3 linked regions of the Bombyx mori genome follow. The protein of the gene in region 1 purifies or fractionates together with the protein of each later gene. This does not show direct contact. Links are inferred from orthologs where the notes say so. Each region holds a gene or a part of one and is shown in the gene's direction. Other genes may lie near its edges. The genes, in order: cytoplasmic FMR1-interacting protein, probable protein BRICK1-B and actin-binding protein WASF3.

What was found.
Region 2: the proteins of cytoplasmic FMR1-interacting protein (region 1) and probable protein BRICK1-B purify together in Drosophila melanogaster (affinity purification with western blotting; 4 studies listed by BioGRID). This does not show direct contact. The link is inferred for Bombyx mori from reciprocal best matches to the Drosophila melanogaster genes Cyfip and HSPC300.
Region 3: the proteins of cytoplasmic FMR1-interacting protein (region 1) and actin-binding protein WASF3 purify together in Drosophila melanogaster (affinity purification with mass spectrometry; 3 studies listed by BioGRID, with this or other methods). This does not show direct contact. The link is inferred for Bombyx mori from reciprocal best matches to the Drosophila melanogaster genes Cyfip and SCAR.

The regions. Positions count from the first base shown.
Region 1 is NC_085117.1:1,808,972-1,812,772, reverse strand, and holds the end of cytoplasmic FMR1-interacting protein, read left to right. Parts: intron 1-567; coding exon 568-715; intron 716-1,446; coding exon 1,447-1,602; 3' UTR 1,603-3,190; downstream 3,191-3,801. UniProt on the Drosophila melanogaster protein: Plays a role in guidance and morphology of central and peripheral axons and in synaptic morphology. Also required for formation of cell membrane protrusions and for bristle development.
Region 2 is NC_085125.1:1,885,427-1,889,771, forward strand, and holds the start of probable protein BRICK1-B, read left to right. Parts: upstream 1-1,483; 5' UTR 1,484-1,993; coding exon 1,994-2,114; intron 2,115-2,555; coding exon 2,556-2,638; intron 2,639-3,464; coding exon 3,465-3,491; 3' UTR 3,492-4,345. Other genes in the region: focadhesin, read right to left, coding at 898-1,178.
Region 3 is NC_085109.1:3,372,474-3,376,130, forward strand, and holds part of actin-binding protein WASF3, read left to right. Parts: coding exon 1-36; intron 37-1,362; coding exon 1,363-1,514; intron 1,515-2,405; coding exon 2,406-2,674; intron 2,675-3,657.

The DNA.
Region 1 (3,801 bases):
CATTACTGCTTCACGGCAGAAATAGGCGGGGCGGTGGTACCTACCCGTCCTACCACCAATATAGAGTTTGCCAAGTTATGATGACAGAGGAAGATCATACCCTCGTCGTAGAGTAAATAAGTGCGTAGGCGTTCACTGTATTTTAGCAATTTAATAATACCCTCTTAATACACAGCAGCTCAGTTGTCTTCCAAATCTCTCTTGTAATAGGGAATGCTGTGTATAAAGGAGACGACCTATCTCGCTTTGTCCTCTCCCTCTCTCGACGGTCGAGTGGTTCGCGAGACGCTCTGTCTATTCTCTCACTCTCGCTCTTCCTAACTTGTATCTTAACTCTCTTGCCGTAACGAAACTGTCGCGAGTTTAATTTTACTCTCAACGCGCCTAAAGAAGTTTCACTTCAAAAATGCGACAGTCTTAAAAGTACTTAAATGTAGGTAGGTTCTCACTCTCGTTATTTCCAAATCGTATCTTTTGCCTCTAGCCGTAACGAATATGTCGCAAGTTAAATTTTACCCTCAACGCCCTTAAAGAAGTTGCACTTCATCTATAATGTTGAACTGTCAGGGAACTGTTCGGCGAGGGTCTCCATTGGGCCGGCTGCACCATCATCGCTCTCCTGGGGCAGCAGAGGAGGTTCGAGGCGCTGGACTTCTGCTACCACATCCTGAGGGTGCAGAGGGTCGACGGAAAGGATGAACTGGTCAAAGGCATTGTGAGTGCGCCGCCATATAACAAAACTTTAGTAATACTATAGTGGTCTTCCCTCAGTAGTCGAAATACTTGAAATTATAAGTTTGAACATTATTATGGTTCTATTGTCAAAGACTATTTATTATACTTCTATAATCAGAGATTTCGCCAAGACTACAACTATAGACAAATAATATTAATCTATTCTCAATTTGACCACACACTTTTATTTATTGTTTATTGTCAAACTTTTGTTATTGTTCAAAGTCTGTGTAAAATTGTAAAAACAAAGTAATTTCAATAAATTATATTTGTATTTCGACTACTGGGGGACCACTAGTTTATATTAAATTACAAACACTTTATTGAAATTAATATTTCTTCCAAAAATAAATTTAAACTTTAAATGGCTCTCCGGTAAAGTTACAAAAATGTCGCTTAAACCAAATAGTCTTTCTCCCCTCGTTATATATATGTATACTAGCTGTACCCGTCCGCTTCGCTGGGCATTTAAAATTAACATTATTACTTCTCAACCCCACAAAGATTCTCATCATTAACGCCCCCGCAACCGGTGTAGGGAGTCCAAAACTCATATAAATATTAGCCTATCCATTAAGTACATGTATTTTTTACATGAATACCAAGTTACAAGTCAATCGGATGCACGGTTCTGTAGTTATAACGGAACATCCGTAAAACCACTGTAGATTGATATACTAGTATAGATTTATGTATTACCTGTGTCCGCAGCCCCTCAAGCGGATGGTGGACCGCATCAGGCGGTTCCAAGTGCTGAACTCGCAGATCTTCGGCGTGCTGTCCAGGCAGCTGTCCGCGGACGACGCGGCCGGCGTCGAGCACGTGCGCTGCTTCCCGCCCCCGCAGGCGCCGCTTACGCTCAACTGAGCCGCCGCGCGACCAGAACTCGACGAAAATTCCATTTTTTTTTATTACTTAGATCAGCCTTTCCCAAAGTGGGTGATAACGCCCCCTTATGGGCGCTGAAGGCCTAAAGGGGGCGGTAAGAGACCCAGAAAAAAATTGGGGGCGCTGTGTAGAGGTTTGGGAGGCAATTTGTAATTTTATCTAGAAGGACTCTTAGACACCGACTGAGCTCTCTCGCTATAGAGGTCTTGAAGTAGGTGATAAAATGGGGGCGCTAAAAAATAATTTATTCTCAAAGTGGGCAGTAGACAAAATAAGTTTGGGAACCCCTGGTTTAGATGGTTGGACGAGCTCACAGCCCAGCTGTTAAGTGGTTACTGGAGCCCATTGACATCTACAATGTAAATGCGCCACCCACCTTGAGACTAAGGTCTCAGTATAGTTACAACGGCTGCTCCATCCTTCAAACCGAAACGCATTACTGCTTCACGGCAGAAATAGGCAGGGTGGTGGTACCTACCCGCACGGATTCACAAGAGGTCCTACTACCAGTAATTGTAATTATACTTTTAACGTCTATTAGCCTTCAGTAATTTCAATTCCATTTGAATTTTATGTTGTTTGGCTGTTTTGTTGATGTCCATGAGCCACGGTGACCTCATGTGGGTCATATACCTACAAAGTTCATAAAGGGCCAACAATATCGATTTGTGATTACACGGTGTGCCAAAAAAGTGCTTCACAGAGCTTTATCTCTGAGCCCCTCAACTTACCATCAGTTGGGCCGTATGCTCGCCAACCTACAGTAGCGATTGGAGAGAATCTGAGATATTAATGTCCTTAATATCAAAGCTCGCGATGCCTTAATGGTGTAGGAACTAAACATTTTGTAACACCCTGTATAATTGTTACTATGATATAATTAAAACTAAGCCATTCCTATGACGTACACGTGGGGACGCTTATGATCGTCTGAGCAGCGTTCTAGACGCGCATGTCACTTGTAATTGTAATAATATTAGTTTTTTTTTAAGAATATCTTTAGAGGCATTAAGACGGACAAAAACTAAAAAATATTTTGGTATATGTACTGTGGTATACATACTTACGCATTTAGACAGACAGACACTCCAATTTTATTTATTTGTGTAGATATATAAATGAGGATTTTTGTAAAATTATTTCGAACTCAAGACAAATAGTATTAGAAAGTAATTATTTGAAGCGATTTGATTTTTACTACTAATATTAGACTTTTTGGCTCGATTTTTTTGTTATATTGTATTAAATGTACTAAAATCATTGTCTAATATAGTAATTATATTTGTAATGTTTTTATAATTGTCGGAGAATTGAGAAGCGAAATGTTTTGTACGCTATACATTGCATGCTCATGATACTCTTTGTATTTATTACTGATACATTGAACGTTTAAATTTTATGTTTAGATAGCCGTCTCGTCTTCTCCATTTTTAATATATCGACAACACATTGACATTGTCAATAGTAAAGTGCGCGTATGCCAATCTTGCAGCACTCAATACTTGTGTTGTTTCTCAATACAATTTTATTATTAAATATAAATTAAATCAAAGCTATGATAAATAAATTGTGTTTTATTTTGTAATTTAGTTAGTCGCTGGATAAAATAATTTTAGTATATTTTAATGATGACAACGAAGCATAAAGTTCTCCTTGGATGTTCGAAGGTTACTGCAATGATTTTTTATATAATTTTTTTATTGCCCTATTATTAAGTATATATTAAGTAGAGGGGGAAGAGGTCGACCCAAGAAGACATGGATGGAGTGTGTGAATGACGATATGAGAGAGAGAGGAGTGAGTGTTGAGATGACGGCTGATAGAAGAGAATGGAAGAGAAAAATTCGCTGTACCGACCCCACCTAGTGGGATAAGGTGAAGAAAAAGAAGATTTTTATTCCCCTATTAGGCGGTGGAGCGTACGGCCCACCTGATGGTGAGTGGTTACCGTCGCTCATGGATCAACAATGCCAGGGACAGAGCCGAACAGCTGCCTACCGTAATCTCCACAATCTCTTCAGAATCAAGTTAAATGCCTCATGTCTCAAGGCGAACGGGTCAAACCCGTACTATATGTGTCTCAAATCTTCAACCGTCACACATGTATTGGCCGAACAGGTAACTGACTACACGAAATAAAGAATTCAAATAAAAATCCACACAAAATTCAATTTCGCC
Region 2 (4,345 bases), on another chromosome or scaffold:
CAAATTACAAAAGTTAAAGTAGCATTAATTATATGACTCGAAAAATCAAAGATAGCAAAATTTTTTGATAATGTTTATATTATGAAGCAAGTTCTTTGACACCGAAAAGTATACATTATTTAAAGTTACATGTACAAAAGTGGTGATAATGTTTCTGTTTACTTTGGATTACAAGATTAATCAAATCAATGATTATAATGCACTCTGTATGCAGACTTCCTAAAGGGTCTGCTGAATGATTAATGTGGTCCACAGAAGGTAGCTGTTTACTTTGAGACAAAAAGGCAAGGGATTAAAAATGTGCTGATCAATTTCCCTTACACCAGTAAGTTCAAATTTCCTAGCTAAAGCTCACACACATTATTTACTTTGCACATTTAGAATGGTTTATGAGTGTTTGGTATAAATGTTAATAAAATCAATGAAGTCGAATGAAAAGTTTGCTTTTAGGCAAGATCAAGTTACATACCAACTTATTCTATTTGTGGATGAGGCCATTTTGAAAATAAAACAACAATTAGTTATTACTTGTATACCTGATTTTATATAATACATTATACTAATGATACGTAATTAAATTGAAATAGCTTTGAAAACAATATAAATTAATATTTAAACATTTATTTTGATAAAGTATTTTTAATTCTTATCAATTTATAGTCTTTATTTTGATTCTTGAAAAGCTACTTAGTTATATTTTTTGTTTTAATTATAAATACTAGTACTCCTAATACATATTTGTTTATACTACATCAAAATTAATAAGACAAAATTGAGTATAACCTCACTGCAATGAAGTAGCTGAGATACTACAAAAATATCAACATACAATTTATTTATACTAAGTTTAGTTTTAAATGTACCATATGGAAACTTAATGAGAATTCGTGTACTTACTGCGCAGTCGGTATGAGTGTTACTACAGTGGACATTGTGTGCGGTATTTCCAAAACACCGAGTTCCACCAACGCTAGGAGTCCTTGACAGGCTGTCAGGCTCACAACAGGATCTTTGGACGAACATTTCTTCCTCAAAAACTTCAATTCCTCGTTTTCCAAAACGAATCTCTGTCGTTCTTCACGTTTGAATTTTGATTTTATCAATGTTATCAACTTTTCTACTGCGTTGACTATTAAGACACTGTTGTTAGTTTTCAATTTGTATTCGATTTCGTCCATTTTTATGTTTTCTGTGTAAAATTTGTAAGCCGGTAATTTATAGGCTATTGCAGATACAGATTTTTTTAAGTTAATTTCTAACCTAAGTCCTAAATCAAACAGCTGTTTAATGTTGTCATTTTTTGTTCATCTTGTTCACTTGAACAGGAAAAGGGCACATTGCTCGTACAGCCAAATCTTGAAATAAAAAAAATAAAAAATTAACCTTCTTTACAAAAACAATTGGATATTTATGCTACGTATGATGTATTAGCACGAGAACGATCTCATAGCTCGCCTGATTTAAAGCACCACATCCATGGCCCATAGACATCCCAAAATAAATTCCGCCACATACCTTGAGACACAAGATCAAAGTTTCATTTGTATGGTTTAACGGTTGTATCTCGGAACGTATACTGCTAGGCAGTAGAACTACAATAGGTGAATATACCTGCCCAGGGCTAACAATACGTCCTACTACAAGAAAATGTCGTTTGGAGATCGCAATAGGACGGTATACTCAAGGAACGCTGCTTGCCACTCCACGGTGAATGACTTCGTCGACTTTTGTGACACTGATGAGTAGAGATATTGTAGTGGATTCTGATTCTAAGCTGACATCGCATCCTCTGCCTCAATTAGAACAATCAACGAGCAAAATTCTAAGCTGTCAAATGTCAAACTATTATTATTTGTTTGAAACACTGAATGAATGAAAAGATTTACCTCAATTTGATTCATTAATTAAACTTGATAACTCTTTTAAAATACTTAAGTACAGAGTAAATCTACTTTATAAGCTATTTAAAATAAGTCGTGACTGATTATATATAATGTCGACGCCTCCAAGAGAAACAATACAGAAACAAATCCAGCAGGATTGGGCCAACAGAGAATACATAGAAGTGATCACAGGCAGCATAAAAAAAATTACAGACTTCCTCAATTCGTTCGGTAAGTGTATCAATATCAGCAGCTACAGGAGGTTCTTAAACAAGAAACATTTTAATTTCAAATTCAGAACACTATTAATTTTTCATAGGATAAGGTACTCGCCTTTCAAAACACAAGGAATGGAAAAATCTCAGTCGTCAGTGAAAAATGTAGTTTTCGAAACGATGGTAATAATAAAATAACAATAAAAATGGGAGATTAAACTGTAAATATATTTTCAATTAAACATACAACAAAAAAGTAGTCTACAACTACTGTTGTCTACAACTATTGTTGTCTACGACTATTGTTGTCTACAACTATTGTTGTCTACAACTATTGTTGTCTACAACTATTGTTGTCTACAACTTGCAGAACCCATAGAAAATATTCTGTTAAAACAGGTCAAAAAATGTAAGTCTTTATAAATGTGAAATTATCATAATATCATCAAATTTTCAGACATGTCCTGTAGATCTCGCCTTGCCACTTTGAATGAAAAATTAACATCATTAGAGAGGAAGATTGATTATTTGGAAGCTTGTGTAAGTAGTTACATATCGACGCTTGAAAGGCAAACGTGACTAAGCGACAATGCGTAAACTTTACAGTAGACTAATTTAAAGTTGAAATACCTGAAAACAAAATTTATTTTAATGAATCTATCTGTAGTAGAATCTAGCTAGTAGCTGTAAGATTGAAATGATTTTAATAGACATAGAAATATATTTTTTCTGTGCATCAAATATGGTTATTGCCTATCATTTATGTACAAAGCAGTTATTGTTGCTTAGTCACATTTGCCTTTCAAGCGTCGATATGATCAAATAGTTGTCAAATGCGCATCTGACATCATACGCATTACATCATAAATCTTCTAGATGAAGCTTGTATTTTTTTGCCTTTTTAGACAAATGAGGAAACACCACACCTGATGATGAGTGGTTATTGTTGCCCAACAATTTCTGCACTGCCAGAAGCAGTCTTGCTGCTGCAAATTACAGCAAAAAAAAAGTTCCTAACTAACTAATAAATTAATAAATAAAAAATCCTATTGAAATTATTCCAAAAAAGCACTCACTAAGTTTGGATGTGATTTTTTCAAACATCATTCAATAATGAAGTGAAACTTAAAATTCATAATTTTTTTATGAAATATGTACACATTTCTCTCATAAAGCAATTGTGTATTCTTGTTTCAAGAGTAAGATAAATACTTTCCAATTATTATGAGTTTAAAATTGACCTTCTGCATCAATTTGGATAGCACTATTTTGATGTCCATGGGTTTTTTTAAGTCCCTAGTAGCAGTTTGACTATAAACAAATCCAGTAATCTAGTAATTACCATATAAATTGTTTTTATTTTCAGGTAACTAAAGGTGAAACCTTAACATGAAGTAATCTTTGATAAATTCCATATAATTATAAGCGTTAGACATAAGTTCAATAATGTAGCAATCACTGAACAATCTCTACTCTCCAGTATAACAAAACTGCAATAAAATTTGGATATTAAAAGTACATATTATATATCGAACTACTTTGAAGCAATGTTAAAAAATATGTTATTATTAAGACCTGATATAGGTAAGGTGTGTTTAAATTATTGAAGCCACTGCTTTAGGCATGATGAGATTAGTATTAGGAGGCACTCTGTGGCAAGAATGAATAAAAATAGAATTTCTCTCGCTTTCTCCTCTGCTATCTATTTATTTCTTTTATGTTCCATTTCTGTTACTTTCAATGAGCTACACAAGAATATCTTTATTTATACATGTCTAAATTTTATATCTTTAAGTTCACTAAACTGAATCACACAAGAATGTGTTTATACACGTTTTGTATATGTATAAATTTTATATATTAAAGTTTACCAAAATCAGCACATTCCATTTGCAAAATTAGCTTTGTTGCTGATTCTTTCACCAAGAAAACAAGTTAAATATGTAAAGAAAAAATGTCAATTGTATTAGACTGAACATGCATAAAACAAAGTGGTTCTCTTTCTAGAAATTTATAAATAACTAACTGTAACCAATTTCGCGGAGAGTTGATGATGATTGCCTGAATCGCGGTAGTGTATTTGACTACAGACTCAAAGTAGAGGGGGACGGACGAAAAACTGAAACATAAATCTAGAAGTACATTCGAGTGCACATGTCTGATGTTTGGAGAAGGATTCAATAGATTCTTACTGTTTTTTTTTCCTACCTAAGCTGATAGCCTTGAGAGGCTATATCAGCGGAACCT
Region 3 (3,657 bases), on another chromosome or scaffold:
GGCCGTCACCAATGGCACCCTTGCGAACACTGTCAGGTGCGTACTATACAACGTTCCCTAGACCCCCACCTTACTACGCATTAAATTACATAATAAATCTAACTTTCAACTAATGATCGATCGAAATTTGACCGCAACCTTTGACATCTCAAGATTTCAATAAACATAACAAAAAACGGTTTCTATTTTTTAATACGTTTTTATTAGCTTCAGACGTATGTATGTAACGGAATCTTTGAACATGATTTTGACCCCCTTCAAAATGTCGGATTAACTCGAAATTTGGCATACTTATTAAGAAGGACCAATGACAAATCATTGAAAAAAAAAATAATTATAAAATCGAAATTCAACTAAAAAATGAAAAATAAATAATGGTTTAAAAAAACTTACACAATACGCTTTTATAGAAAATCCAACTAAAAAATAGAAAATAAATTTTAATAAATTTGAATTAAAAATAGTGTAAGAAAAAGTGATTTTATTGTAAAAAAGCGTGGGATGCTTTTCTGGATATTATCAAAATAACCCTTCTACTCATATCTGTTCATTCTTACTAATAACAATAAGATCGTTAATGTTTCTAATTATTATTAAAAGAATTATTATTAAAAGAATTTGTAGTTTATAAATTAAAAAAAAGAACAAGCTTAAATAGCTAACCGAGTTAATAATGATTAATTTCATTTTTTTTTATCCTGTTGATACTGGTTCGGATTATAGAGCGAATTTTTTTTTTTATTGCTATTGAATCGCGTATGCAAATTTTCAAGTTAATCGGACGTCTTGATTGGCGAAAATGTCGTTCAAAGATTCCATTACATACAAACAAATAAACATTGCTTGATAAACAGAGTTGAAAATGGTACTTCTTAGCTATTTTGTTTTTGTCTATAATGAATAGATTGAGAATGAAATGATCCAGTCTCATAATACCTCGTGTCAAGGAACATGTCAGTCGTAATTCGAATACCCTTAGGTCTTCAGTCCTGTACCACTAATATAAAATATGATAGTTGTATAGTCATTCCATCATGTCACAGTGGGTTTCAATTAGCAGAAACCGGTGAAATGACTCTTCAAGAAGGAAGAGATAATTTTCTCGAAACATTAATCGAAAACCACCCTGCCTATTTCTGCCGTGAAGCAGTAATGGCGTTTCGGTTTGAAGGGTGGGGCAGCCGTTGTAACTATACTTGAGACCTTAGAACTTATATCTCAAGGTGGGTGGCGGCATTTACGCCGTAGATGTCTATGGGCTCCAGTAACCACTTCACACCAGGTGGGCTGTGAGCTCGTCCACCATTCTAAGCAATAGAATGCGATAAATATTATTACCAATACTCTGTTCCAATATTACAGACAACTCTCTTCCCTCTCCAAGCATGCTGAGGACATGTTTGGTGAATTGACCCGGGAGGCCACGAACCTGGCGGACAGAACTAATGTGCTCCAAGCGAGGATAGACAGGCTCGCTATAAAGGTGACGCAACTCGATTCCGGTGTTGAAGAAGGTGATTTTTTGTTTTATTATTACTCATACTCTTCATCACAATGCATTTAGGTCATAAGAAGTCCACAGTGGAGTCAACAATCAGCGTTTACACTCTGGTCTTGAATTACGCTCTTCAACTGAGTTGTCATGATTTCAAATGAATTGTATTATTAACCCTTTGTCTTCGAGAGGTGAATCTCGCTCACTACATGATTTAATGACAAAAATAACGATATCAAAAACATAAAAAAAAGATGTAAATCAGCAAACAAAGAAACATAATTGGCTTAAACAGCGCATTGAATTTCCGCATCAAACAAAGTCGTGAGCGAGACTCACCTCTCGAGTGCAAAGGGTTAATAAAACAGTACTGCTTCTCTGTTGTCTCTAGTTCAGGGCTGTCCGAAAAACCAGCCCATAGCTTGTTTTAATGCGGCCCGCGATGCAGGTTTTAATCAGAAAATAGTTTTGGATAAACAGTTTGAATGATAGAATTTTTTGTCAAGACATACAATCAATATTTGGTATAATTTATCTGTTTTCTTGTAACTTTCCAACTCCATGTCATCATTTAAAAGTAAAGCTATCTTTTACTATTATCACCGGATCATCTCAGTGGGTCGCTTTCCGTTTCGGTGGTAGATTCTGCGAAGCACGGCTCTTGCTAGGGTTCGTGTTAGCAACGTCGTCAGGTTTGAGCCCCGTGAGCTCACCTACTAGTTAAGGTTACGCTGAAGTGGCCTCTCAAGGCTCTCAGCTAGGTAGGAAAAAAAATATAGTAATTTTATTAGCCCGCAAAGGTAGTATAGTTTAGACAGCCCTGGTCTAGTTTATTTCAATAGTCAACTTTCTATTTATTTAAGCAACAATTAGCGAAATTTATATTCGGCTTACTAATGATTGTTTTCAGTGTCCATCCAAGACATCCAGATGCGTAAGGCCTTCCGTTCGTCTCGTTCGTTCGAGCAACAGCTGTTCTCGCGCAACACGATGCCGTCCGCGATGCTGGCGACGTACGCCAAGTGTGACCGGCCGCCGCCCCTCGAGCGCCTCAACGAGTTCAGAGACGACGGCAGGGACGCGAGGAAGTTCTACACGGACCCCGATTACTTCTTCGAGCTGTGGCGAAGGGAAATGCTCCAAGATACGGAACGAATTCAGCACGATAGAGGGAAGAAGGTTTGTTGAGGATTCTCGAATTAAATTTACGATAGTGGGAAAATAAAAATTTGCATGAGTTATACAGTTTACACTAGCTTTAGTCCGCGACGTCGTCCGCGTGGCATAGTCACTTTGGCATAACGCTAAATTTTACCTCCACTTCATTTACGTAGAAAGTGAAAATATTTTTGAATTATAGAATGTTAAGGAGCTATTTAATTTGTGGACGGATAATGACAGTGAAAGTTTATTCTTTTGCTGCCCCACCCTTTAAATCAAAACGCATTACTGCATCACGGCAGAAATAGGCAGGGTGGTAGTACCTACCCGTGCGGACTCACAAGAGGCCTACCACCAGTAAATATATGTCTACAAGGACTATACACAGAATCGAGAATCCCCGAGCTCTACTAGCCTTTTCCAAGAGACCATTATTTTCCAAACAAATCGTTGATTGTTGTTTTGATTGTGATTGTACTGTGTATCAGATTGAATTGAGACATCGATACAAATTTATTTATTTATTTTTTATTTATTTGTTGTCTGGTCAGGTTGTATAGTCGATATCGTCATTAGACCTGTGATCATTATTGGAATAAGTGAATTTTGTCAACTGTTGTTCTCTTTCAATTGTTTTTATTTAAATACAAATGAATAAATAGGTTAAGGCAAAATATTTGAGTACTACTTTCTCGTCTCTTTGTCCAACGATTATCTTTTTGATTTGTTTAGTAATTATTGAAGAGTATTGGTGTTATCAGATTTATTTTCTTGGAAACGGTCAACAATAGAGGGAATAGAATGCGTACAATGAATCTAAGTTGAGGTGTCAGTGATCATACTATACTGGGTGTTAGGAAACCGCTTCCGAAAACGAAGACAAAACGCGGCGTTGGGCCGTGCGCCCGGGCCTTCGTTGATCCGAGCATCAGCTGTTTTTGATTTTGTGTTTCATTGCTGGTTTTTTAAAAAAATAATGTATTTTTGAAGTGAAACTTTAG